7 linked regions of the Ovis aries genome follow. The protein of the gene in region 7 purifies or fractionates together with the protein of the main gene of each other region. This does not show direct contact. Links are inferred from orthologs where the notes say so. Each region holds a gene or a part of one and is shown on either strand. Other genes may lie near its edges.

What was found.
Region 1: the proteins of LIN37 (region 7) and RBL2 purify together in Homo sapiens (affinity purification with western blotting; 5 studies listed by BioGRID and IntAct, with this or other methods). This does not show direct contact. The link is inferred for Ovis aries from reciprocal best matches to the Homo sapiens genes LIN37 and RBL2.
Region 2: the proteins of LIN37 (region 7) and RBL1 purify together in Homo sapiens (affinity purification with mass spectrometry; 3 studies listed by BioGRID and IntAct, with this or other methods). This does not show direct contact. The link is inferred for Ovis aries from reciprocal best matches to the Homo sapiens genes LIN37 and RBL1.
Region 3: the proteins of LIN37 (region 7) and CDK2 purify together in Homo sapiens (affinity purification with mass spectrometry; 3 studies listed by BioGRID and IntAct, with this or other methods). This does not show direct contact. The link is inferred for Ovis aries from reciprocal best matches to the Homo sapiens genes LIN37 and CDK2.
Region 4: the proteins of LIN37 (region 7) and MYBL2 purify together in Homo sapiens (affinity purification with mass spectrometry; 6 studies listed by BioGRID and IntAct, counting the BioPlex papers as one, with this or other methods). This does not show direct contact. The link is inferred for Ovis aries from reciprocal best matches to the Homo sapiens genes LIN37 and MYBL2.
Region 5: the proteins of LIN37 (region 7) and TFDP1 purify together in Homo sapiens (co-immunoprecipitation; 3 studies listed by BioGRID and IntAct, with this or other methods). This does not show direct contact. The link is inferred for Ovis aries from reciprocal best matches to the Homo sapiens genes LIN37 and TFDP1.
Region 6: the proteins of LIN37 (region 7) and E2F4 purify together in Homo sapiens (co-immunoprecipitation; 4 studies listed by BioGRID and IntAct, with this or other methods). This does not show direct contact. The link is inferred for Ovis aries from reciprocal best matches to the Homo sapiens genes LIN37 and E2F4.

What each region holds. Positions count from the first base shown.
Region 1 is NC_056067.1:21,330,667-21,334,166, reverse strand, and holds part of RBL2 (retinoblastoma-like protein 2), read right to left. Parts: intron 1,650-3,500; coding exon 1,578-1,649; intron 916-1,577; coding exon 810-915; intron 1-809. UniProt on the Homo sapiens protein: Key regulator of entry into cell division. Directly involved in heterochromatin formation by maintaining overall chromatin structure and, in particular, that of constitutive heterochromatin by stabilizing histone methylation.
Region 2 is NC_056066.1:66,021,735-66,025,234, forward strand, and holds part of RBL1 (retinoblastoma-like protein 1), read right to left. Parts: intron 1,824-3,500; coding exon 1,557-1,823; intron 492-1,556; coding exon 280-491; intron 1-279. UniProt on the Homo sapiens protein: Key regulator of entry into cell division. Directly involved in heterochromatin formation by maintaining overall chromatin structure and, in particular, that of constitutive heterochromatin by stabilizing histone methylation.
Region 3 is NC_056056.1:163,556,693-163,560,758, forward strand, and holds the start of CDK2 (cyclin-dependent kinase 2), read right to left. Parts: upstream 2,801-4,066; 5' UTR 2,680-2,800; coding exon 2,564-2,679; intron 1,842-2,563; coding exon 1,764-1,841; intron 1,647-1,763; coding exon 1,526-1,646; intron 878-1,525; coding exon 707-877; intron 256-706; coding exon 154-255; intron 1-153. Other genes in the region: melanocyte protein PMEL, read left to right, coding at 3,688-3,763. UniProt on the Homo sapiens protein: Serine/threonine-protein kinase involved in the control of the cell cycle; essential for meiosis, but dispensable for mitosis. Phosphorylates CABLES1, CTNNB1, CDK2AP2, ERCC6, NBN, USP37, p53/TP53, NPM1, CDK7, RB1, BRCA2, MYC, NPAT, EZH2.
Region 4 is NC_056066.1:72,197,176-72,201,247, reverse strand, and holds the start of MYBL2 (myb-related protein B), read right to left. Parts: upstream 2,801-4,072; 5' UTR 2,770-2,800; coding exon of another isoform or gene 2,750-2,769; 5' UTR 2,461-2,749; coding exon 2,339-2,460; intron 1-2,338. UniProt on the Homo sapiens protein: Transcription factor involved in the regulation of cell survival, proliferation, and differentiation. Transactivates the expression of the CLU gene.
Region 5 is NC_056063.1:86,051,571-86,055,631, reverse strand, and holds the start of TFDP1 (transcription factor Dp-1), read right to left. Parts: upstream 2,801-4,061; 5' UTR 2,672-2,800; intron 1,855-2,671; exon of another isoform or gene 1,709-1,854; intron 1,434-1,708; exon of another isoform or gene 1,322-1,433; intron 968-1,321; 5' UTR 905-967; coding exon 893-904; intron 1-892. UniProt on the Homo sapiens protein: Can stimulate E2F-dependent transcription.
Region 6 is NC_056067.1:34,395,840-34,400,041, reverse strand, and holds the start of E2F4 (transcription factor E2F4), read right to left. Parts: upstream 2,801-4,202; 5' UTR 2,728-2,800; coding exon 2,593-2,727; intron 2,174-2,592; coding exon 2,064-2,173; intron 1,923-2,063; coding exon 1,761-1,922; intron 1,436-1,760; coding exon 1,392-1,435; intron 665-1,391; coding exon 603-664; intron 386-602; coding exon 88-385; intron 1-87. UniProt on the Homo sapiens protein: Transcription activator that binds DNA cooperatively with DP proteins through the E2 recognition site, 5'-TTTC[CG]CGC-3' found in the promoter region of a number of genes whose products are involved in cell cycle regulation or in DNA replication.
Region 7 is NC_056067.1:45,772,032-45,774,693, reverse strand, and holds the end of LIN37 (protein lin-37 homolog), read right to left. Parts: intron 2,649-2,662; coding exon 2,573-2,648; intron 2,389-2,572; coding exon 2,338-2,388; intron 2,019-2,337; coding exon 1,989-2,018; intron 1,909-1,988; coding exon 1,823-1,908; intron 1,736-1,822; coding exon 1,569-1,735; intron 1,019-1,568; coding exon 713-1,018; 3' UTR 630-712; coding exon of another isoform or gene 548-629; 3' UTR 501-547; downstream 1-500.

The sequences.
Region 1 (3,500 bases), about 24 Mb from region 7:
GACTGCTGGTGCAGTTTGCTTTTAAAAAGAAACTTCAGGAAGAGGAGGGTGAACAGCTACCCGTTCTCCTTGTTAAACGGCAGCAAATGGGCCCTCTACACCGAGGAGCAAAGCACAGACAAGGGATTTAGTACTAACTCTGTGTGTGTGCATGTTCAGCTGTGTCCGACTCTTTGCGAATCCACTGGATGTAGCCCACCAGGCTTCTCTGTTCATACGTTTATCCCAGCAAGAATACTTGAGCAGGTTGCCATGCTCCAGGGGGTCTTCTCACCCCAAGGGTCGAACCGACATCTTCTGCTTTCCTTCATTGGCAAGTGGATTCTTTACCACTGAGCTACCTGGGAAGCCCCACTAACTACTATCATGCTATTAATGTAGCAAGGGCCTGATTAATTGACACCAAGTATTCATTAATTGTAGCAAGTATTCATTAATTGACACCAGTTTTCTAGGACCGAGCCCTGCATTAAGTGGTATAAACCAGCAATTAAGGATGGTATTTCCATAGCATGGTTTCTGTTGACATGCCACATTTTTCTGGAACTCAGGTCAACAAATGCCTGTCTTCCCTAACCTTTTCTAGTACCCCTAAAGAAAAATGTTTATGCACAGTGTGTCTCAAAACCATGGAATAAAGGACAACTTTGCTACTAAATTTAGAATTGTTTATTGTTCCAACAAATCTTTTCCCAATAAACTGTTTTCACAGTTTCTACAACAGTAATTTTAGTAATTCTTTAGTCCTAGACCTAACAAAAAGAGGAGCTGCTAATTTAGTTGTATGCATCCATAAAGATCCCACTTACTTCTGTCCCTGTTTAGTTCTGTCGGAGAATTCTGATGGCTTCTGCTGTCACTGCTGCCAGAATTTCTTCTTCTCCTTTTCCCTTTTATCAAAACACTTCTATACACCTTTAAGCAGAGCATGATAAGGCGACAGAGCAGTATCTACTGAGCACATCCTAGACTACACAGCTTTCACATCATTTAATTCTCACAGTTCCCTACAGTAATAGCTGTCCTGCTCAGGGGAGGTGTGTAAATGCAGCCAAGGTTATGTATCAGGGCCTGTCAGGCTTCAACTTCCAAGTGCTGCCTACAATACTACAGAGCAGCAATAATACCTAATTATAAAATCAAGTCATTCTAAGTCAGATACAAAGATCGTACCGACCTATTTCTTCGAGACACCTATATAGCATTAAAGGTAAAATGGGTTTTAAAATTTCACTTAATGCTATTTTGGTTAAATGTGTAGCACTGTGTGTCCTAAACCAGACTGAATTCAAGGTGACATAGAATCCAAACAGCAGCTTCCTAATTTACATCTATCTTGTAATTATCTGAATTAAAAAGGAATCAAATATTTTACATCATTAACTTTGGGGGAAAAGAGAACTTAAACTAATCAAGATGTGTGGCTGTCAATAATTAAATAAGATTAAAATAGAGTCCTATTTTTTATCCTGGAGAAGAGGCTACAGAATCACTTGGAGCCTCTTATAGTTAATTTTTTTATATGAATCAAAAAGACTTTCATCTTTATTTTCAGCCCTGAGGGAAAATGTAGTTACCTGGCTCCGGGCCTGTGGCTGAGTCCTATAGCAACGCATAATATTCTGGAAGGACTTGTCTTCTTTTGTGACCTGGCAAAGAATAAGGGTACACTGAGAATGAATTTGACTTCTAGCCTAATATAGTATGAGATGATTCCTGAACCTGCTCCCCAGTGACACTGGTGAAAATCGCATTAAAAAACAACCATTTAAAGTCTCTGGAAATGTCTCTAAAAAGCATACAACAAATGAAGAACTATATATTCAAGTAAATCTACTAATTCAGTAACAACAGAAGGAATATGTGGTATCTGAATCAAGACCTAGAATAAACCATAGTGACAGAAAATTCATTAGACGAATGAAAAACTAGATTTGAACTGGCAAAGGAAAAGTTTAATAAACCTGAGATGGAATCGTTCACAGAGCAGAGGATAGAATGAAGAAAAATTAAAAGTGCTTCAGAGAAATGGGGCATACCATTAAGCACATCAAGGTCACATAATGGGAGTACCAGAAGGAGTGAAGCAGGAAGAAATGTTCAAAGGCTGAAACCTTCTAAATTTATTTAAAAAACATTAGTCTTAGTTCAGTTGCTCAGTCGTGTCTGACTTTTTGTGACCCCATGGACTGCAGCTTGCCAGGCCTCCCTGTCCATCACCAACTTCTGGAGTTTATTCAAACTCATGTCCATTGAGTCAGGGATGCCATCCAACCATCTCATCTTCTGTCATCCCCTTCTCCCACCTTCAATCTTTTCCAGCATCAGGGTCTTTTCAAATGAGTCAGTTCTTCACATCAGGTGGCCAAAGTTTTGGGAGTACCAGCTTCAGCATCAGTCCTTCCATTGAATATTCAGGACTGATCTCCTTTAGGATGGACTGGTTGGATCTTGTAGTCCAAGGGACTCTCAAGAGTCTCCTCCAACACCACAGTTCAAACGCATCAATTCTTTGGCGCTCGCTTTCTTTATAGTCCAACTCTCCATACATGACTACTGGAAAAACCATAGCCTTGACCAGACAGACCTTTGTTGGCAAAGTAATGTCTTGGCTTTTTAATACGCTGTCTAGGTCAGTCATAACTTTACTTCCAAGGAGTAAGCACCTTTTAATTTCATGGCTGCAGTCACTATCTGCAGTGATTTTGGAGCCCCAAAAAACAAAGTCTGCCACTGTTTCCACTGTTTCCCCATCCATTTGCCATGAAGTGCTGGGACCAGTTGCCATGATCTTAGTTTTCTGAATGTTGAGCTTTAAGCCAACTTTTTCACTCTCCTCTTTCACTTTCATCAAGAGGCTCTTTAGTTCTTCTTTACTTTCTGCCAGAAGGGTGGTGTCATCTGCATATCAGGTTATTGATATTTCTCCCAGCAATCTTGATTCAGCTTGTGCGTCATCCAGCCCAGCGTTTCTCATGATGTACTCTGCATATAAGTTAAATAAGCAGGGTGACCATAAACAGCCTTGATGTACTCCTTTCCCTATTTGGAACCAGTCTGCTGTTCCATGTCCAGTTCTGTTTCTTCCTGACCTGCATACTGATTTCTCAGGAGGCAGGTCAGGTGGTCTGGTATTCCTATCTCTTTCAGAATTTTCCAGTTTGTGGTGATCCACACAGTCAAAGGCTTTGGCATAGTCAATAAAGCAGAAATAGATGTTTTTCTGGAACTCTCTTGCTTTTTTGATGATCCAACAGATGTTGGCAATTTGATCTCTGGTTCCTCAGCCTTTACTAAAACCAGCTTGAACATCTGGAAGTTCATGGTTCACATACTGCTGAAGTCTGGCTTGGAGACTTTTGACCATTACTTTGCTAGTGTGTAAGATGAGTGCAGTTGTGCGGTAGTCTGAGCATTCTTTGGCCTTGCCTTTCTTTGGGATTGGAATGAAAAGTGACCTTTTCCAGTCCTACGGCCACTGCTGAGTTTCCCAAATTTGC
Region 2 (3,500 bases), on a different chromosome or scaffold from region 7:
AATGATGACTGGGGGTTGAGGGGAGAAATGAGTTACTGTTAATGGGTACAGAATTACAGTTTAGGAAGATGAAAAAGCTCCGGAGATGGACAGTAGTGGAAACTGCACAACAACGTGAATGTACTAATGATACTTAGCTGTACACTTAAAAATGGTTAAAATAGTAAATTTTATGTATATTTTACCACATACAAAAAAAAGGCCAAAGCTGTCCTCTGTTACTCAATCTTTATTGCACTGATTAAAGGAGATCTTTTTAGATGCTATAAAAATACATACCTTTCTATAAAACAGTGCTAAGGACCCAGTTCTCTTTGGTTTGCTTATTCCAACTGGATGTACCTCTTGTGCTTTGGTCAAATGGGTCTGCTTTGGAGAAGCACCAATTAATGACTGAGCTGTAAGTGATACAGGACTCTCAACTTTGGACTCCTGAGTTGTATTCATGGAAATTGGTATCAGTGTGATCTCTCCAGCATCATTTGCAATACCTGAATGTACAAGCAAGAGTTCTTAGTTTTAGAAATGTGTCCCAGAAAAGTTATCAATACTTCTTTCTTCGCTCATTCCTCCCTCCCTCCCTCTTCTTGTTTACTATCTATCTGTGCATAGTAATGGTAGAAGAAGAAAGCCACAAAAATAGTAATTCTAGGTTATAATATTTTTGTTTTCTATTTCTGCTCTGAAACAATAATACTGTTCTCTTTGGTGGTCTAAGGGAGATGTTTTTAACCATTAAACAAAATTCTTGCTCAACGCACTCATTTGTAAAACTCAGGTAAGAAACTAACTCCTAACAGAGTAGTAAATCCATAAAATATGAAAATTCAAAAAACTGTGCAGGTATACCTCAGAGATATTAAGAGTTTGGTTCCAGAGAACCACAATAAAGTGAATATCATAATAAAATGATTCACATGAATTTTTTGGTTTCCAAGGCATATAAAAATTATGCTTTTGCTATACTGCAGTCTATGGGGTGTGTTATGGGCATTATGTTCAAAAAAGTGTATGTACCTCAGTTAAAAAATACTTTGTTGCTAAGAAGATACTAATCATCACCCAGCAACACAAGGTTGCCACAAATCCAATTTGTAGAAAAAAAAGTTATCTGTAAAGTTCAATAAAGCAAAGTGCAATAAAATGAGGAAAGCCTCTATACATTCAAAACAAAACTAAAGGGGGAGTGCTGAGGAGCTTTAGGGCAGTGTTACTATTCTGTATAACAGTATAATGGTAGATATGTGTCATTAGACATTTGCAAAATTCATAGAATGTACAACACCGAGAGTGAACACTAATGTAAACTATGGACTTAAAGTGATAATGATGTGACAATGAAGGTTCATCAGTTGTAATACATGAGCTAGTCTGGTGCAGGATACTGATGGCAAGAAAGACTCAATTTTGCCATGAACCTAAAACTACTCCTAGAGGAAAAAGAGTACAGGTCCGGGAGAAAATACAGGAGTAATAAGACCATGTGATATAATTCAATAAGACATTTCTTAAATTTTTATTCATTTCAAAAAAAAATAAATGCATCAAAATATTACCATGCAATGGGACTGTAACTTTATGTCCTGTTGTCCCTGTTACTATGGCTGTGGCCATTGTTAGAAGACTGTGCCCGGGTGAAATTGATATATTTTCAGCAGTGATGCTTGAAGAAGGAGCAATTTTCAATTTTGTTCCTTCTGTTATGATCCTGTCCATAAGCATTTCCTTTGGGGGGTCTTCCCCAAAAAGTCTTCTCTTAGCACTCCCAGCAGTAGGAGAACTGTAGCGTTCATGGACAGAAATCGGAGACAATGGTTGCATATCTAATAAAGAGAAAAATTTTAACAGTCTGACTTGTATTTCAAACAGACACAATCAGGTTTACTCACTCGTTCAACAGATGCTGAGTTGTGTTACACTGTGTGCTCAATCGCTTCAGTCGTGTCTGACTCTTTGCAACCCTATGGGCTGTAGTCTGCCAGGCTCCGCTATCCATGGGATTTTCCTGGCAAGATTTCTGGAGTGGACTGCCATGCCCTCCTCCAAGGATCTTCCCGACCCAGGGACTGAACCTGCATTTTCTGTGTCTCCTGCACTGCAGGTGGATTCTTTAACAGAGCCAACAGGAAAGCCCTAGATACTGAGTTACTATGCTAAAATAACAGCCTTTGTCCTCATGCAATATCGAATCTAGTGGGAGAGAGAAGAATGAAATAAATCTTAAAATAAAATTACAATAGCTAACCTTCCTGGTTTCTTGAACCTCTGCCTACGTTAAAGAACCAAAATATTATGGGGAAAGTAGAAGCTGAGAGGTAGAATGCAGTGACTGTTAAATTAGAAAAGTAGTCCAACTAACTTCTGTCTCCTCCCGATAAAAAGGAAAAATCAGTGATTTGGTTCACAATTTTCTCTCTTCCCACACATCTACACGTCAAACAGTTTAAGGCAATAGCTTTGGCTTTCTGATTTAGCAGACACAGAACCATCTTTTACAAACCCACTAGAAGATGAATAGAAGTGTTATGACGCTTAATTTGAGGCATTAGCGTGTAACAGACATGTCATCTATTTTCAAAACATGTTTATAAGGTATAAAAATTACCTCTGGCAATAATTTGACAACTCTGTATTTCTGAGGTAACTGGGGAAATAGTTATGGTTTAATAAAAATCTCTTCTTAATTCTGGGGGTTATGAAAGCAGCTCTGACTTGCAGCCTTAGCAAACAAGTGGGAAGTTCTATTGTAGCCCATTACTCCTTAACAGAAGTCTACCTTTATGTCTTATTTCTAAGAAAACCAATGTAGTCCTTGAAGCTAACTAGGAATGTTCAGAGCTGACATTTCAAGGGGGAAAATGCATGTTATAACCACCAAGTTAGCTGCAAACCCCTTGAAATGATTCTTTGCCTAGCACAGTACTGGAAAAGCTTCAGTAGACATTCAATAAAAATTTAGTAACTATACAAATTAATAAACTGTCTTTTCCCCACTAGAGTCAAGGCTCAATATTATTGTTTTCTAAGGATTTTCTATTATTTGATTCTCTTGCATGAACCCCTACAAGAAAATAATTTTCTTCTAATTATAAAAATAATATATTACCTGAATGCTCACATCAGTGATATTCATAAAAGCCAACAGGTAGAAATAACACAAACGCCCATCAGCTAAATTCCTACTTTCTCTTTTGTACTAGGAGTTGAACTTAATCTCACTTCACTGCAAAATCCTACTGCCATATAATAGGGAAGAACCTTTATTATAGGTTAGTCACTAAAGAGATGTTGCCTATAAGCTTAAATTATCCATAATGGCCCATCTCTGGGAACCCTGCCTCTCAGGTAATGCATATTAAGCTCAAAAACCTTTGCTCAGGGCTTCCTAGGTGGCTCAGTATTGAAAGAATCCGCCTGCCAATGAAGGAGACATAAGAGAGGCTGGTTTGATTCCTGGGTCAGGAATATCCCCTGTAGGAGGAAATGGCAACCACTCCAGT
Region 3 (4,066 bases), on a different chromosome or scaffold from region 7:
AGCCCTCTCCTTTCTCCATGACCCCCTTTGTGCTACTCTAAAGGAAGAACCCTGTGATAAGAGAAGGACCATGGGTCTGGGCCAAGAAACAGTTCTGTTGTTCTTGAGTGTGGGAAGGAGTGGGCTGAGTAGACCATGGGCATGCCTCCATACCATCTCAGCAAAGATGCAACCGAGGCTCCATATGTCCACTGCTGTGGAGTAGTATTTGCAGCCCAGAAGGATTTCCGGTGCTCGGTACCACAGAGTCACCACCTGAGGAAAAGAGTACAGGACATGAAGATATCCACACGTCAGTTTCTAAACACTATTCTGCTAACTCAATTTCTTCACAAGCAACTTCTATCCCTCCATCCTTCCCTTTACTCTCATTGCCCCTAAGTAAAATAACTGGGTACAACTTCTTAGCCCAGAGTTAGCCTAATCCATGGTTCTGGGGAACATATATTCTGAACCCTCAATTTGCAACCTTCTTGGAAAACTTGAGGCAAATGGTCATAATTTTAAATTTCATGCCTTCCACCTGTCTCCTGGCTCGGTATCTATCAATATATGAATTCTGTGCATACTCTAAGACCTCTTGTGGTGTCAGAAATACTTTCCATCTAGTGAGAAACTGCTGGCCAGATCGTTACTAAAAACTCTATGAATGTCCTTGTTAACACCTCCCAGGAAGTTCAGAGAAGACATGCAGAGGAGGACTCACCTCGTGGGTATAAGTACGAACAGGGACCCCAAAAGCTCTGGCTAGTCCGAAGTCTGCTAGCTTGATGGACCCATCTGCGTTGATAAGCAGATTCTGAGGTTTAAGGTCTCGGTGCAGGACCCGATGAGAGTGGCAGAAAGCTAGGCCCTGGAGCAGCTGGAACAAGTAGCTCTGACAAGGGGAAAGAAAAGACTCTGTTTTTCCACCACCGTGAGCAGATTAGGGTCTCCTCTGTAACTCCAAAGTTCTACTAAAGCCTTTACTAGTTAAATTGTAATTATGTTTTCAAGCTATTTCTCCAGTTGGACTGTCAACCCATTGAGGATAAGATCAGGTCTCATTCAGTTTTGCATTTATGTTCCATAGCGTGGACCAGCACATTGAAAGTGTTCAATAAATGTGTGTTGGATGTTTGTTGGTTGATCGAAAGTAGCTTCCGGAGTAAGGAACCCAGAAAAATGGACAACAGAGACTCACTGGCTATTTCTCCCACCAAACAGGTGGAAGGGCTTTCTGGAGGCATCTACCAAGTACCCCCCAGTCCCATTTATCCGAGTTTCATCTCAAGAACCTTCCACCTGAGCTGCTAAGTTGACTTACTAGAGTTTCAACTTCTTTGATTCCCCTGCCCAGCCCTAGGGTTAAAAGCATAATGAGCAGTGAAAGAGCCACAAGAAAAGGTGTGTGCGTGTGTGTGTGTAGGGGGGTGAGGGCTGGGAAGGAAACCAAGATAAATCAACACTCAGTCCGGATTGCCTGCTTTCAGTCCGGACTCCCAAAACATGCCCATGTTGGGGAGGAGTTGATGAGAAGGAGTACCTTTATGAGCGGAAGAGGAATGCCAGTGAGTGCAGAGGCATCCATGAATTTCTTGAGATCCTGGTGCAGAAACTCAAAAACAAGGTAGAGTTTGTTTTCTGTGTGAATGACATCCAGCAGCCTAGGGAAGGGGGAGGTCCAGGAATACACGTGAGGGAGAGAAAGGCCCAGACAATACAAACAGAAGACATTCTCCTTTACTGTCAGAGCACCTCCCACCTCCCAGATACATACTTACTTGACAATATTAGGGTGATTAAGCTCCTTAAGCAGAGAGATCTCTCGTATGGCAGTACTGGGTACACCCTCTGTCTCACTTGGAGAAGTTGAGAAAGCAGAGATGGGAATGTGGTTACAAATATTTCTTTTCCCTCAGCAGTACAGTCATTCCCCCCACCCCACCCACAGCCCCCACCAACCCAGCATCCCCTAATTAAGTGAGAGAAAGGGTGCTTCAGTGGTTAAATCATGGATGGACAGGAGTGTCTTTTTAGACCCATTAAGATCATCATATCTTCTTTGCCCAGGGCTGGGTTAGCAAAGCCTCTTGGTGAAGTTAAAAGGGGGAAAAGTGTGTGTGTGTGGAAGTAACAACACCCAGCCTCTCTAGAGGTGCCAGTAAGGTTCAACTGCCATTCTTTTGAAAGAGAGAATTCTAAGATGCGGGTGGGGTTGGGGCACTGAGGGCTGGTCTAGTCATTTATAAGGGTGCTCTTTACCACTTATCACAAAACCCATCTCCTCGTCGGGGAGTCCTGGATCCCATCTCAAAAGGCTCCTTCCTCTTCCTGACACTTTCTGACTGTACATTTGGGGACATCGCCCGCCTCTGGGGAGGAAATTTCCCATGGATTCTACACTATCCTATAGTCTCCACCGGGAAACCCTCTACTCGTCCTTCAACCCACCTCTCCACTTCAAAAGACTTCCCTCCCTGCTACCTTCCGGTCCCTGGAAGGCTACCCGCCTGTTGCGGTGGGGGTGGGGGGCACTCAAGGAGCTCCCGAGTCAGGACTCCCGGGTACAGAGGCCACTCACGTGTCCAGGCGGATTTTTTTAAGCGCCACCACTTCTCCCGTCAACTTGTTTTTGGCTTTGTACACAACTCCGTACGTGCCCTCTCCGATCTTTTCCACTTTTTGGAAGTTCTCCATGAAGCGCTAGCGAGTCGGGTCAGCCCGGCCCTGGAGCTGGGGCCTGGGAACCTGCAAAAAACGGCACCCAGCTCTCGGGGGCCGAGGAGGGAAACAGGGCCCAGCACCGCGACCCGAGGTCGGGATGGAACGTAGTGTATCTCTCGCTCTTGTCAATTTGTCCAACTTGAAACAATATTGCCGCCTCCCCCCTCTAGTTCCCTACCGCCACCAGAAGCCCCGCCTCTCCTTCCCGCGTTTCCCTGGCTCCTCCCTCAGATCTTCCTATTGGTCTACGTCAGAGAGGGCGGGGCCAGCCCTGTGTCCCTCGCTGCAAACGACCCCACCCCGAGTAACTTTGGTTCCGAGGAGTATTAAGGATAAATTTTTATCTGGATGGGGAGGCTGAACACCTTTTTCCAAGTATCTGATTTGGGATCGAGTTTTCTCTCTGTGTCCTGAGTCTATAGGGATTTCCTGATCTCTAATCACCGTTTTCACCACCCTAAGGAAAATATGTATTAAATTCCACCTCGCCCTGGAGCCTCCTCTGAAAGCAGGAAACTGGAAATCTCATTGTAAGGGTTTCCTAGGGCTCCGAAGAGTCGTTGTCCCACTTCTCTCAGCCTACCCCAATACTGTCTGTTTTTGGACCCAGGGTCGCTGCTTCTACAGTTATTTTGAGAGGTTCCTGGTTTGACTCACAATAGATTGATCCACTCTCCAATGATGAACCCTGTGCGTCCGGTACGTGTTATGTTTTGTAGCTGCCCTTCAGTCATTTTTTCCCCGCGAGGGGAGATGGAGTACTTTAAGATGAGACTGACCCTGTGAAGCCAGAAACTGTCAATGAGTAGCATGATGTCCAGGGACCAGGATCCCTCCTCTGTTCTGTCTCTCAGATCCTTCTGCTCCTCCCAGGATTTGCCTGGAGGGAGGGGAGGAAGGGCTATGCAAATAAGCACCCCCTTCTTATACAGGGGTTTGTCCAATGCCCCAGAGTCTTTGGTTGCTGGAAGGAAGAACAGGATGGATCTGGTGCTGAGAAAATACCTTCTCCATGTGGCTCTGATGGGTGTTCTTCTGGCTGTAGGGGCCACAGAAGGTGAGTGTGGGATGTGTGGACATGAACAAGTGTGAGTTTAGGGTTACACACCTGCTCTGGTTTTTCTCTCCCTAAAGTGGAAGATAGCAGCAGTGCTTCAGGTGTTTCTCATCCATTTGATTTAGTGAGGACATGGGCAACTGAGCTCCCTCCCCACATGAAGATTTGGGTGCATATGTGTTCAGGCACTTGGGACTGAACCTGAAAACAACCCCATCTACCTGGACGGGTGAGAGAACAGTATGTCTCTGTGGCCCTAATTTTGAGATGCTCTGAATAGTGAGCTGGAACATGGGTGCCAAG
Region 4 (4,072 bases), on a different chromosome or scaffold from region 7:
TTGCATACCCCTTCTCAATCTTTGCCTTCACACAGGCCTAATTTATGGAGCAAAAAATCAGAGTACAAGCAACTTTGAATTCTGAATGTTTTTATTTTCTAATAAGTAATTTTCTAAGTCACTCCAACATCTTCCTATTTACGTGGTATAATGTTTACAAAAATGAAGATCACGCTATCCACGCCCAGGGATGTCTGGGACTCACTGGAGCACCCTCCCAACTCAGGTGGACCTGTCAGGGACATTCCTCAGGCATGCATTTTTACGCAGGAAAAGTCTATGAGTCTCCAAGCACAGGTCAGGTATCAAAAGAAGGAAGAGGACTTCCTTCTGCAGCCACCCTCCTTTCCCCTTCTCAGCATCTCCCTAGTCACTCCCACACTCCCCAGAGCGCCTTGGAAATCCTCCTGTCTCATAACATAGGCCCTTAGGTTGCAAATGCCTATCTCCTTGACAACCGGGACAGAGGTCACCTTCACCTCCGTATCTGCCTTTGGAGGATGGCACCAAAATGCCTTAAGAAATGTTTGCTCTGGAAATGGCCAGATACAGGAATGAATGACTGATAAACATGCAAAGCTGCTGCCTCTTAGTTGATCAGAAATGCTAACATAAGTCAACTTTTAGAATGAGGTAAGGAAGGGACAGATGCTGTCTAAACCCACCAACACCTGTCATGAGAGCTGGAATTCAACCTTGTCTCGTCATTCCCAACCCAATTCATGGAGTACTCCACCATTTCAAAATAGGAGATTCTACAAGATACTAATAACAGAAAGAAGTGGCTTTAACATCAACTGACCCCGGCCTCTGTTCTAACAGAAACTATCTTTGGTTCTCTGACACCCAGCTTCTAACAGAAGCTCAGCAAATGTTCCTTCAAGGACAAAGTGATTTCTGTGTGAACACCCTCTGGAGCTTGAATACTCTATTTAATGCGGACAGTACTGCGGCTGGGACAATTCCGTGAGGTTTAATATACTTATACCGCCATCACAGTAATGATTGTCTGCTTCACAGGCATTCTCATTATCCCCATTTAATAGATGTGAAAACTGAGCTCCCAGGTGGCACTAGCAGTAAAGAACCCGCCTGCCAATGCAGGAAACATAAAAGACACAGGTTCAATCCTTGGGTCAGGCAGATCCTCTGGAGGGCACGGCAACCCTCTCCAGTATTCCTGCCTGGAAAATCTCATGGACAAAGGGATCTGGCAGGCTACAGCCCATAAGGTTGCAAAGAGTCAGACATAACTGAAGCGACTTAGCACGCACACACGAAGCTCGCAGGGGTTAACCTGCACCTGTAGGTCCTCATCTGATAATCCCAGCAGGAAAAGCAGAGGCTAAGTCAGTAGTGCAACCACGTGGAGGTCTCACACACCCTTTCTATGCCCTTCCATGTGCTGGGCTCTGCTCCAGTTGGGGTGAGTCAGAAGCTGAGCAGGAAGTAGGACACTGTGCAGAAGAGAGTTACAGCAAGTGGCCAAGAATCAAACTGAATGCTGTGGGGTTCCAGGATGCAGAACCCATCCCTCACCTGGGAGCTGGGATTCTTCCACTGAGCCCCAGGGCATAGATGGTAGAAGACCTGGGGGTTTTCAGGGGCTTTGGGTTTGTTGCCTGGAGTGAACACTTCCTGAACCAGAAATTCAGGGCCTGACCAGCGCCTGCCCAGAAAATAACTCCTGGGAATTGGAGCTGCTCTGAGAAACCATGGCCTGAGGAAGACACACCCTGTGCCTGATGACTTCCCAGGGATCAGATGTTTCCTTGCTGAGAAGCCTGTGAAGGCAAACATCACCTGAAGCGAGATATTTCAGGCTATTTGGTATGGATACAGGAATCCTGGGAGGGAACAGGTCAGAACCCCCTGTGGTTCTGTAGTGTGACTCCCAGACTGGTTGAAAAGCCTAGAACTCAGACACTCAAGGAACAGGTGTAAGACAGGAACATGGAACCCACAGACCTGATTTCTGGCTTGTCTCTGCCATTCAAACTCTGGGGGATAAGTAAAATGGAGACTGCAGTTCTTGCCTCCGCCCCAGGGGTTGCTGGCACAGATCAGTCTCTCTTCCCCTTGCATTCAACCCCAGCTGCCCCAACCCCCGCGCGTAGGACAGGAAGAAGGTCTCCGGAGCGAGACCGACCTAAGGCCCCGAGCCCAGGTGGTGAGGGACCAAAAAGTCCCTCCCGGCCCCAGCAACCCTCCTAGGTCAGGGGAGAGAGCCGGGAGTGCTCCGTGCTTCCCCGAATGTTAAGAAATGCCCACCGGCAAAACCAGACCCCCCAAAAGGCTCCAAAGACAAGCGTCTTCCAGGCTTTCGCCTCCCACTCACCGCGACTTCGAAAATAATTTTTCTTCTCCAGGGGTCGCCTCCCTCCCCGGTAAAGGCCCTTCCAGCTGACACCACCGTCCCACCCCCACCCCGCAATTAGGCGGGAGACAAAATGACATCATACAAGGCTTGGCCCGGGTCCCAGGAGACCCGCTCGCCCCAGCTCCGAGGCCCAGCAGGCCCGGGGGTGCCGAGCGAGGAGCCCCCGAGAGCTCCCCGGCTTCGCGCGCACCCTCGACGCCTCCCCGCGTCAGGCGACGCGGGACACCTGAGTTTTCCGCCGACCCCAACCGCGCCGGGCCGGGATCGGAAAAGCCCCGGCGAGGGTGGCGGTGCGGGGAGGGGGTCGGGGCTGAGGAGGATGGCGCCTGGGGAGGGGGGAAGGGCCCTCCGCCGGCCGGCTCCGCTCACCCGCGCGTCCGCCGCGACATCCCCCCGGCCCGGGCCGCGCCGCGCTCGCCCGCCCGCCGGCCGAGCCCGGAGCGGGAGCCGGGCCGGGGTCAGGGTGCGAGCTGCTCCGGCCGCTCCGGGCCCCGGGGCCGCGTGGCGAGGCGTCAGCGTGACCACAGGTCCGGCCGCTGCTCACGGGGACTGCGGCCGCCGCCGGCGCTCACAGAAACACTTTTCTATCTCCCGCCAAGCGCGCCGGCGCCGCCCGGGCCAGGCGCGCGGGCGGGCTGGTGCGCGGGGCGGGGCCAGCGAGCGACGCGGGGCGGGGCCAGCGGGAGGGCCGTGCTCGGGGCGGGGCCAGCGAGCCGCGCGGGGCGGGGCCTGAAGGCCCGAGGGCACAGCACCGAAGCTCCCAGGGCAGGGAGCTCGTGGGCGCGGCTTTGACCCCGCAACCTGGTGACTGAGGCAAGGCCCGGCCGAGAGCCTTGGGGCAGGCCTGGAGGAGGGAAGACTGAGAAAAGGGAATGAGCCGCAAGGGTGGGAGAGTGAGGCCGAGGGAAACTACCTGTGCTAAGAGCCCAGCGCTAGTCCAAGCAGCTCCTATGTCCCTACACCCTCACCCCCACCCCAAAGCGGCCTCCTCACCTACACCTAGGCCAGGGCTGAGACTTGGAAACCACTCCCTTCTTCCTTTCCAGCCTTGAACTCAAGTGGCTCCAGCTCCTCAGCTGGACTCCTGGCAGCCCAAAGCAAGCCTCCTAAAAAGCAAACCTGATGTTGCCTCTCCAGAACTTAAAGTCTCTGTCCTCTCCCTCAGGGTAAAATATTCTGCAATCAGGTTTATAGCAGTCTGCCAGACCACCACCCCGCCCCTAGCGGGAGGAAACTCTTCAGCCTCCTGGCCGTTGCTGGGGCGGATACACTTCCCACTTCTCCCACCGGAACTAGTTCCTATTGCTCCTTTAAGAGCCCACAGCCCACAGTCTACTTGCTGACTTATGCATGTCCTGATTTGAACTATGGGCTTGCTAAAGTTCAAAGTGAGTGAAGTCACTCAGTCGTGTCCGACTCTTTGCGACCCCATGGACTGTAGCCTACCAGGCTCCTCTGTCCCTGGGATTCTCCAAGCAGGAATACTGGAGTGGGTTGCCATTTCCTTCTCCAGGAGATCTTCCTAACCCAGGGATCGAACCTGGGTCTCCCGTATTGCAGGCAGACGCTTTACCATCTGAGACACCAGGGAAGTCAAGTTCAAGGGGCCCCTCAATTCACAGCAGTATCCCCAAGGCCCAGAATTCATTGGTTGCATTAAATTCGTTTCAGTTCAGTTCAGTCGCTCAGTCG
Region 5 (4,061 bases), on a different chromosome or scaffold from region 7:
AAGTTTACTCACGATGTTCTATGGGTTCACAACAAATGTAAACAAAGCAGAATTGTTCACATTCTGTTTATCACATTTCATTTTTTTCTGAGAAAAACAGTTGCCAAGTCCAGTGCTGAGCGTCTTCATGGGTGGAAGCTGAACTAACTCCCGGGGGGCACACAAAGCAGCTGCTCAGGGAGGCTCGCCAGCCCCGCGCCTCCACAGGCAGGGGGTCCTCTCACAGAGCCCTGGCTGATTCACAAGTCAGCCAGCCTCCAAGAGACCCAGGAGCGTGGCGGCGGCCAGCCTCCAACCAGCCTCCAAGAGACCCAGGGGCCGGCGGCGGCCAGCCTCCAACCAGCCTCCAAGAGACCCAGGGGCCGGCGGCGGCCAGCCTCCAACCAGCCTCCAAGAGACCCAGGGGCCGGCGGCGGCCAGCCTCCAACCAGCCTCCAAGAGACCCAGGAGCCGGCGGCGGCCAGCCTCGAGACGCAGCCTCCAAGAGACCCAGGAGCGTGGCGTCGGCCAGCCTCCAACCAGCCTCCAAGAGACCCAGGAGCCGGCGGCGGCCAGCCTCGAGACGCAGCCTCCAAGAGACCCAGGAGCGTGGCGTCGGCCAGCCTCCAACCAGCCTCCAAGAGACCCAGGGGCCGGCGGCGGCCAGCCTCGAGACACAGCCTCCACCGCTCAGGCCTGCGTGGCCCAGGCAGAGGCCAGCATGGCTCAGGCCGCGCGCAGCGCCACCGGCTGTCCCCGCCTCCTCACCTTTACTGTGTCTCTTTGCTGGAAAGGTCTGAACACCGACAGGCCCGCAGTTTATGTGTGGTCATTCTGAAACAAGGTGGGGAGTGACCGAGAACGCAGTGCTGGGCAAACATCGGTCCAGCACAAAGCAGACACACGTACTCACATCTTTTGCCATGTTACCAGTTCCGTGAAATCGATGCTAGTAACGGTCACCCTCCAGAAAAGAAAAATGGTTTTCCTGGTAAAAAGAAGGAGAGGGGAGTCATGAGCCAGGCTGAAACGAGAAGCTGACACCGCCACCGTCCCCTCAGCATCACCACCCATCTAAGCGGCAGGAGTCCCTTCCTCTCCAAGCCCTCGCTCCGTCCCGGGGCGGGGGGTGCGGGGGGCGGCCCAGAAACGCCCCCCGCCCGGGCACTCTAAAGTCATCTCAGGCAGGGAAGCGTCCACAACCCGGCTGCCCGCCGGCCTCCCCGAGGCGCACAAAGACCCGGCGTGGACCAGCCTGGCACCGCGGCCCGATGCCCCCCCCCCACCCCACCCGGAGCGGCCCCGCGCGCACGCGCTCCCCGCGGACGCCCCCGGGGCCCACCCGCGACCACCGGCCGACCGGTAACTCTGACAGGTGGGCGTCCGGGGCCGCGGCCTCCGGCCTGGCGCTAGGCCGCGGCCGCCTCCCGCGAGCGCCCCCCGCGCGCCGCGGCCGGCAGCCGGCGGGCAGGTGGGGCCCGCGCCCCGTCCTCGGCCCCCGGCCCCGCGCGCCCGCCCCGCCCCGACCCCCGCCCGGCGCGCGCGCCGCTCCGCCCGGAGGCTGCGCGCAGGCCCCGCCCGCGCCCCGGCCCGCGCCCCCCGCGGGGGTCACCGGGGCGCCCCGGCGGCGGGCCCGGCGCGCGGGGGGCCCGGGGCGCACGCGGCGCGGGGCGGGGGCGGCGCGGCCGGGCGCCCGGCGCGCGCCCCTGGGGACCCCGGCCCGCCGCACCTGGCGGGCGGGCGGCGCGGGCGGCGGGCGCGCAGCCGCGGGCGGCGGGCGGGGGGCGGCGGGCCCGGCGGCGCTCGGCCGGGGTCCCTGCCCTGCCGAGGCGCCGGGCGCGGGGCTCACCCTGCGAGCGTCGGGCGGCGTGACGTGCGCGGCGCGGTGACGTGGGCGGCGGCCCGGCTCCCGCAGCGCGCCTGCGCGCCTTTTCGCGCCTTCGGCGCCCTCCTCCTCCTCCTCCTCCTCCTCCTCCTCCCCCCCCCCGCCCCCCACTCTCCTCCCGCCGGGCGGCCCGCGCTTGGAGGAGATGAGCTGCTCCGGCGCGTGCCCGCGTGTGCGCGCGTGCCCGCGTGTGCGCGCGCGCCGGCTGCGGATGGAGAGGAGGGCCTGGCCCGGGACTCCGCGGTGCGCGTGCGGGGGAGCTGAGTCAGGGATGTGTGCACACGTGCGCACACGGGGCACAGGGATGGGGGTGCGCGTGCGTGTGTGTGCACCCTGGGGATAGGAACTGGGACGTGTGCACCTGTGCGCACACGGGGACCGAGGCCTGGTGTGTGTGGACGTGCATGCTCCTGGGCGTCACGGGCTGGGGGTGTGTGCGCACTCCGTCGGCACTTGGGAACCAGTGGAAGGTGTGGAGATGAGTGTGTACACACACGGGGCCAGGGATGGGGGTGCGCGTGCGTGTGTGCACAGCCAGTAGTAGCGGATGGATGCGAGAGTGTGCACAGAGGCCAGAAGTGTGTGTGTGCGCGCGCGCGTGCAGATGTGCGCACTCGGGGGAGCGGGCTCGAGTAGCGCACAGTGAGTGTGCTCTTGGAGGAGCAAGGCAGGCTGGAGTTGTGCCCGCAGGCGTGTTTGAGCGGGTGCATGTGTGTGCACAGGAAGAGGAGGTCGGGTGTGTGCTCGTGCAGATGCTCGGAGGTGACAGCGTGTGCACGCGCAGTGCCCTGTCCGCCGAGTGCTCACCTGTTCCTGCCCAGCCCGAGGTCTCCACGCCCACGCCCGGCCTCTGCCCAGGCTCTGAGTCTTCTGGACGGAAGGGTGCCGGCCTGCTCCTTATCACCAGGTGGCCTGGGCTGAGTGGAGTCTGACCCTGGAGACTTGCCCCCGGCGGTTCACCATCAGCCCAGCCAGGGCAGGCGGGGCGTGGGGGCCGAGTCCAGAGTTCATGGGGCACAGAGGACTTGAGCTATCGCCTTACACGCTGCCTGGGACGGTTCCACAGTTTAACCACTTTCAACCTGCTTCTCTGGCAAGCCACTCCAGTCTTGAACTCTTACCCTTAATTAGCGTTGGTTTCTTGAAAAGCAGGAATCTTCCCATTCTTCCTGCTGATCGGTATGCTTTCTACACTTAGAGCAACAGGGGTGATGAAGACCCGGCGGGAGGAGTGGGGAGTAAAAGGCTTCGGAGGGACCGTCCTCTGTCCCTGCAGGCTGGACACCTCTGCCTCCCTGTGGAGAAACATGCATAGCTCCCCACTGGGAGGGCTGTGGTGCCTGCACCTCCCACCCCGTTCTGTTTCTCAGAAAGTCTGTGTTCCTCACCCCACTGCTCTTTCCAAGAAATTCCGTCTTTCTCACTGTGTTGGAGTCTTCACCCCCATGTGGCAGCCAGAAGCCGCTCCCTGGGGCTCAGGTGCACAGACGGACAAGCCTCTGGGTGAGGGCTGGGTGCTTGGAGAGAGGAGAAACACAGGATCAGAGTCCGAACCCGAGTCCTCTCCCCACAGATTCGAGAGTCCAGTCATTGACCAGTATTTACAGGGGATAACTAGCTCTCATATTCAAAATCATTTCTGCACAGAAATCACTCGTGAAACACTCTGAGCTCGCTAGCGCTGCCGCAGCATTGAAACAAACCTCTGGCTTTCTCGGAACCTCTGCCTTTATAGTCAGTTACCCTACAGAACGCCTGTACCTCTGTTGAAAGGTGACAACGTAATTTTGGTTGAAGATCCAAATGTTTTTGGCCACATCTCGCCTTGAAACCCCTAGGCTGGCAGAGACGTGACCTAGGCGGGTGATGACCCCACGCGTGTGTCCGTCAGTCCTGCCTGCTCTGGGGAGTGTGCCAGAAGTTGCGGTCTTAGAGAGCCTTCCACCAGTGTCCACTTGCTCCTCCTCCCTGGGGCTGCACCGTCACTGTGTCTTCCGGGACAGCACGGGGAGATGGTGCTGCTCCGTGTTCCGTTAGAAGGCTGACCCGGGCTTCCCAGGAGAACGCCCGCCTGTCACTGCGCCCCCTTTCTTTGTGGGCCTGATACAAAGCCTTACCCCCACCCCCGTTAAACTCTCCTTTGAAGAGAGAGAAAGTTTTCTAATCCCTTGAAAATCTGAATTCGAAGTCTTAAATA
Region 6 (4,202 bases), about 11 Mb from region 7:
AACTCTCAGTATTTCATCTCGTCACACAGAAACATTGCTTCTTGGGTCCCCGAAGTCCCTCATTACCACATACCCCTTGTGTCTCACCTGTAATCTCAGCTGCTGGACCAGCCACCCCCTGGGCCTCGGTGCTGCTGGGGACAGGGTTGGGGGTGGTTGCCTGGGGACTGCTCGGGCGTGAGGCATCCTGGGGCTGGGCCAGGGCAGGCTTGGGCAGAAGCGGAGGGGTAGAGACAGCAGGCGGGCTCTGGAGCAGGTCTTCGGGTGGGGGCACAGGAACCGCCACAGGTGGTGAGCTCCATGCCTCCTTGTTCACCAGAAGCACCTCAATGGGGCCACTTACACTCTTCAGGTGAATCTGGTACTTCTTCTGCCCATTGAGGCCCTGAATGTGGGGGTGGAGGACAGGTGGAATTGGAAGCAGATTTGGCTCCTGCCTGACCCTGGGCCAGGGCCAGTATCCTCTCCCACCCTGGGCTGCCCGTTCCCCTAGATAACTTCAAACCCTAGGCCTCCCCTTACCTGCCCCACCCGGGACTTATCGGGCTCCACAGCCAGCACCCGCCCTCAATCCACCCCACCCGGCTGGGCTGAGCACCCACCTCTGGGATGGGCACCTCCAGGCTGGTGCCCGACGGGGCCCGGATGGCAAGGAGAGTGTCTCCTAGGATGACAAAGACGATGGATCAAGGCCCATGGGCTCAATTTGAACTGGGAATGGGGTGCCTATCCCTCAGAACAAGGAAGGACGTCATAGTCCCGGAGGGGGCGGACAGTAGGCTTCACTCACTCCCTATTGAGGCTGGGGGAGAAAACTAAAGCTTTTTCTCTCCTAAGAACCCAAAGGTCAGTAACCAGAAAATCTGGGTTCAGATATGTGGAGCAAGAGATTAGTGGCCATGGGCACCTCATTCAATTGATGGGGCTGCTCCCTAGGCAAAGATGTTCTGGCCAAGGCCAACAGCTCTTCCCCAGAACCAGCCTGGGAGATGCAAGATGGACGAGGAAGAGTTCCTGTACCTACAGTGCAACTAAACTACAGGTTGGAAGTGGGTACCACTGCCCCCTGCACACAAGCATATACAAACAGGCACACACACTTTCTCCCCTCGTATGCTTCTGTCACACCTGAGAAGCCAAACCTAGGGGGCGATGCAGGTGGTGGCTGACCCAGAGACCCAGTCCAGGCTTCCTGTACCCTCTCAGCATGGTGAGCCTCCATAGGGTCCCAGAGATCCTCAAATCTAGGCCTTACCCTGTCTGGTTCTTCTTTGAGCAGGCCCCAGGAACCCTCTTAAGAGACGGAAATCTCTCAAGCACCGAGTCCACTGCTCAGGGCTGTGGCTCAGCCCAGTCCCACCCCCATTTCCCCCTACCCAGGCTCTGCTCACCAGCAAAGCATCTGCAGATGTCCTCATGAGTCACGTAGGCCAAGGTGTGGGGGTTAAGGAGAATGGCTGATGCCCTGCCTATGGTGACAGATAACTGACACAGCGAAGACCCAGCTTTGCAGCAGAGGTCTGACATACATGCTCACAAAGAGAAGCCCTGAGGCCTGGGGTCTACATGGGGGAGGGATCACAGGCCAAGACTGTGGGTGGAGAGGCTCCGAGGAGGGAACCGGAGGCTGAAACCTGGCCAGGAGCTGGAGGACCATCCTCCCAAGTGGGACAGAGACTAGGGGACACAGAGCACACCCAGCTGGACTAGAGGGCCCATCGCCCACTCCCCGGGAGCCAGGACCGCCGATAAGAGGATATCAGCTGTTCTGCACGTCCTCTGTGACGTTCCGGATGCTCTGCTGCACCCACACCTTGTGCTGGTCTAGTTCTTGCTCCCGCTGCTGCAGCTCCTCGATCTCTGCCTTGAGCTCAATCAGCTTGTCCGCAATCTCCCGGGTATTGCAGCCAGGACCCACACCCCTGAATCCAGGAAGGAGAGCTAAGAGGGACTGCCTGGCACTCTGGGTCCTACAGCCCCTGTTCTCTCTGCCACCCTCCACCCCACACTCCTGACACTTCTGGGTAGGAGATACCATTGCCGACCCCGGTGCCCCCACTCACTTCCACTGGATGCTATTCTTGGATTTTTTCTCAATCAACCCGATACCTTCCAGCACGTTAGTAATGTCATATATCCGCCGCTTCTGGCGCACAGCTAGGGTGTCAGCTGCCTGGCAAGGAGAAGAGAATGGAAAATGCTCAGTCCCACTCTCACGGGGGACTCGGTCTGGAGTAGTCTGGAAAGGGGGTGGCCTGAATTCTAGCCCTCCTCCCCAGGCACTACAGCAGCTCAGGACTGTGGGGCGGGAAGAGGCCAGACGAAGCCTGAGCTGATGTTCCGATGCTCTTTTCCCCACACCTGCTGGAAAGGGCCACGAGGACTACCACCCGCAGCCTCAAGCTTGCCACAAAGCTGACATCCGATGAACAGCCTTAGCCGAATGAATGAAACAGCTCCCGGCCTCCCGCTTGTGAGAAGCACATGTATGGCGGCCTGCTCTGAGGGCTCAGCTGGGCCGCCCCGGGGGTTCCCTCTACCGGCTCAGGCCTGGTCCACCATCCCCCTGTCGTCCCTTAGCCCGGGCCGCACCAGCTTGAGGTCAAGCACACCGTCCTTGGCTTCCTGCAGAAGCGACACGAACTTGGTAGTGAGAAGTCCCAAGCTCTTCTCGTGCCGGCTTGGGGTGCCTGGGGGCGGCGGCGCCTGTGGCCCGGCCTCCGCCATCGCGCCCGCCCGCCGCCTCCCCTCAGCCAGGCCAGGCCAGGCCGGCGCCGCCGCCACTTCCGCTTCCGTTCCTGGCTGCTCGGCCGCCGGCGCCAGCCTCGCTACTTCCGCTTCCGCTTCGTTCCCTTCCAGGGAGTCCGTCACAATTCCTCTCAGCAGACATGGCCGAAAAACTTGAGGGACCATCATCAAATGTCCAACCGCCGAAGAGGACGAAAATAACCCCAGGATCCCGGAAGACAGATGTGGTCGAGGAAGCATGTGGAGGAAGTCGTTGGGTAGCCTCAGGAGCAGTAAGGAGGAATCACTGGAACCTTCCTGGCTGGCAAACCTGACCCAACTCGACTAACTGTGCCCCAACCCTCATCTCAGGAGAGGAGACCCTGCTGCCTGATGAACCCAATGTGTTTTCCCAAACCTGCTCCTAAAAGACTGCCCCACTCTCTTGGGATCACCTACCCTCCTTATTCCTGTCCTTCAGTTCCTGCCAAACAGCAAGCACTAACTACATCTAGCTTATTCACCTGTCTGCATCCCCACTTTCTTCCCCTGATCCCAGCCTCGCCTTTCTCTTGTCTCCACACTACAGTGCTCAGAGGCCATGGGATTAAAACCACTTTTCAACCGATGCAAACATATTTACCCATGTGTAAATATATGTAAAGCCCTTAGAGCAGTTTCTGGCATGTGGAAGGATTATGTGTTTGCTAGTATCATTTTGTTATTTTTAACACTATCATTTATTATAGTTTATTTTAGGTCAAGTTCTTTGGAAAACAGTCTTTGAGAAAGAGATGTGCCAGCAGGAAGTTTACTGAGAAGCCACACTTGTAAGGAAATAAGACAGGCCAAACAGGGCAGAGAGGAGAATTAAACTGTGAGGAAGTTAAAATGGAGGGCTCTGTCCTTCTAGGAGCACTGAAACTGGGGTACCCCTTCCAAGGCCTACCTGGCCCTTATACCCTAACACTGACCAAGAGACTCAGATCTGAGACCTCATTAGCCTACATTTCGGGCAGCTAGGGGAATGAGTGTCTTTGTCCTGAAGGGTGGATTTGGGTGGTAGCCAGTGTCCACAGCATTATTACTACCTAGTAGTCAGTTCCACTGGAGGAGGGCATGGCAACTCACTCCAGTATTCTTGCCTAGAAAACCCCATGGAGAGAGGAGCCTGATGGGCTCCAGTCCATAGAGTGGCACAGAGACACGACTGAAGCAGCTAAGCAGCAGCACCAGTCCCTTTCATGGCTCCTTTTATCTCCAAGACAAACAAGCTTTCATAGCTCTTCCACCCCTCTCTGCCATCTCCCGCCACACACCCTCCTCACAATAGCCTATGGTCTCTTGCTCCTCTGCAGAGGCATACCTGCCTCTAAGGGCCTGTCAACACAGTTTTCACACTGTGATGTTGTCTGCATCCATATCAGCACACCTTCCTCTCCACCCAGGTTGGGGCCATCTAGTTCCTGTCTGTG
Region 7 (2,662 bases):
TCCCACCCCGGACCATCCTGGCCTGGTCCCCAAGACTCTGGATCCTTCCCTTCATTCCAACCAGATACACCACTTCTCACCCTCTCCCTCCAACCCATCTTCTAACCTGAAACCTCAGCCAGCCACTCCCAGATCCTTGAACGCCTTTTCTGACCCTACCTTTGTACCCCTATTCTAAGCCAACCAGAACCCTCAACCTCGAACTGTACAGATACCTACCCCTCCTCCCCAGAGTCTGCACAGATATCTCACGCTATCCAGAACTCCTCAGTCACTTTGTCTTGACCCCCCAAATCTCCAACCACAACACCCTCCCCTTATTCTCCAAGACCCAACCAAGCAGCCACTTTCTTTAATTCCCTACAATCTTTCTCCCTCCTCAAATTCCCTGATGCCCCATCCCCTACCTAGGTCCACTCCCCCAATAAATGTGCTAGAGCTGTGCCAACTGTTTTATGTCTGATCCAGGAAGGATAGGCTGTAGTAAATGGAGACCAGTGTGGAGGAGAGGAATGTTTATTGGGATGAGGGTGGGGACAGGGGAACATCACTGTCGCTCGTACATCTCCCGTAGGATCTTCATGCTCTCTGAGTAACGAAGCTGGTTCCGATGAGATGCCTCCTTCCACCTGCAGTGGGGGTGGGGGAAAAGCAGAGGGAGGACTCAGCAGTTGGAGCAGAGGCCACAGAGAACAAGCTGGTGGGGGGATGCTCACCTCTGGCGGATACGCTTCCAGCGCTGCATGTTACGGTAGATAAGCGTGGAGGGTGAGGGCTCAGGCTCGGAGGGCTGCATGACAGAGAGGCCAGGCTGGGTGACCACACTCATACCCCACAACACCTGCCCCATGGCCCTGAGCCAGCCCAGCATACTCACCTCATCATCAGGGGTACCCTGGGTCTCAGGCTGCAGCGGGGATGGAATTCGGGATCTGCAGGCGTCTCCAGGTGGCCCAGGAGCTGTGGGTGGAGGCAGCTTATACACATCACGACTCTTGCTGTTGGTGACTTCAGAACCCTGGGGATACAAGGACCCACACCAGACCCAACAGAGTCAGAGAAGAGGGTCAGGGACATCATTTCACACCTTCCCCAGCAACAAAAGACATGAAGGTTTCTCCAGGGACTTGTACTTAGGAGTCATGTGTCTGCTCCAAGGACCCCTGTCCAACCCAGGGACCCCTGATCACTCCTGCCCAGCATAGAGACCTCCATCTATGGAGACCTCCATTCCTAGCCCAGGGGGTTGCCATCTGCTCCCCTAGACCAGGTGGCTATACCTGGTTGCCCTAAGGACCCCTGCCTAGTCTCTCAGCTCTTGGTGACTTCTGATCTTGGAGGGCACATCTATTTACCCAGGAACCCTGTCTCCTCTGCCTCTCAGACCAGAGAGCCATGTCTGTCTGCTCTAGGGCACTCCAACCTTTGCCCTGGCCTAAGGGTTCCTATCTATGTGCTTCACCAGATTCAGGAGTCACTGGTGTTCTTGTCTGCCAGGGAGGGTGCTTTGTGACTGCCTACCCATTGCACTCCTGGGCTGCTGGGCAGGAACCCACCACCCATCTCACCTCCTCATCCTCAGGCAGGGGAGGCAGTGGCGAGCTGGGTGAGCGTTCACGCTCACGCACTGTGGGGCTGTTGCGCATCCAGGCTCGGCAGATGGGGTACAGTGGCGTGTTCTCACTGAACTGAGCCAAGTCCACACTCCGGTCAAACAGCTTGATCACATAGGTGTCTAGAGTGGGGCGAGTAGGAAGGGTATGAACATCCTTGCCTAGCCCCCCCAATCACTGCCTGCCCTCGAGGGCCACCGCCTACTCACTGGATCGCTGTGGCCCTCCCTCAGCCAGCCCCTCATCCATCTCCCTCCTCTTCTTCCTCCGCTGGTGGGGGAATCGGGCAGATGGCCTGTGTGGGGAGGGAGTACATCAGGACCGGGGTGGGGACTACAGACCTCTCATCAGCTGGTGGGGCCCCTGCCACCTTACCGTTTGCCAGTGGCCGTGATGGAGCAATCCCTGTGGGGAGAGACAGGGTGTCATGTTAGCAGGCTTGCCCTTAAACGAATGCCTGCTCACAACCCCTCAAAAAGCACCCTGGGGGTACTGTGAATGAGCTCAGAGATCCCACCAAACCCTGCAGCCTTGGGTCCCACCCCTTGCAAGCTGACGTGCCATCATCAGGGGACCTGAGTTTCTGCTGCTCCATGGCTTTTGTACGTGAAGAATGGTTAAGACTGTGATGGAGAAAGCACAGGGCAGGGGGCTCAGGGCTCAGATGAGGAAAGAAGTTATCTACCACAAACCCTCAGACACAGATCCCATCAATAAAACTTACTTGTTGTGGGTGTCTGAGGAGGTCTTCCCAGGTTCCTCATCCAGACGCTCCCTGGTAGCAGAAGAGAACTGCATGCTCAGGGTTCCCAGGGCCCAGGGTGGGAAAGTACCCAGTGGCCTCATCCACTGGGCCTCTTCCTTCCTAAGTCAGTCTCTGGGGTCCCACCCACAACCAGAGGGTCCCACCCGCTAGGGCCCCCAACTTCCCATGACCCTGTCCTGGGTCAGATCCCAACCTGTCCATGTGACTCTTCTCTAGCAGACACTGCAGAACAGCATCCAGTTGGTTCCGGGCCTTGGCCATCTCCAACTCTGGGGAAGAGGAG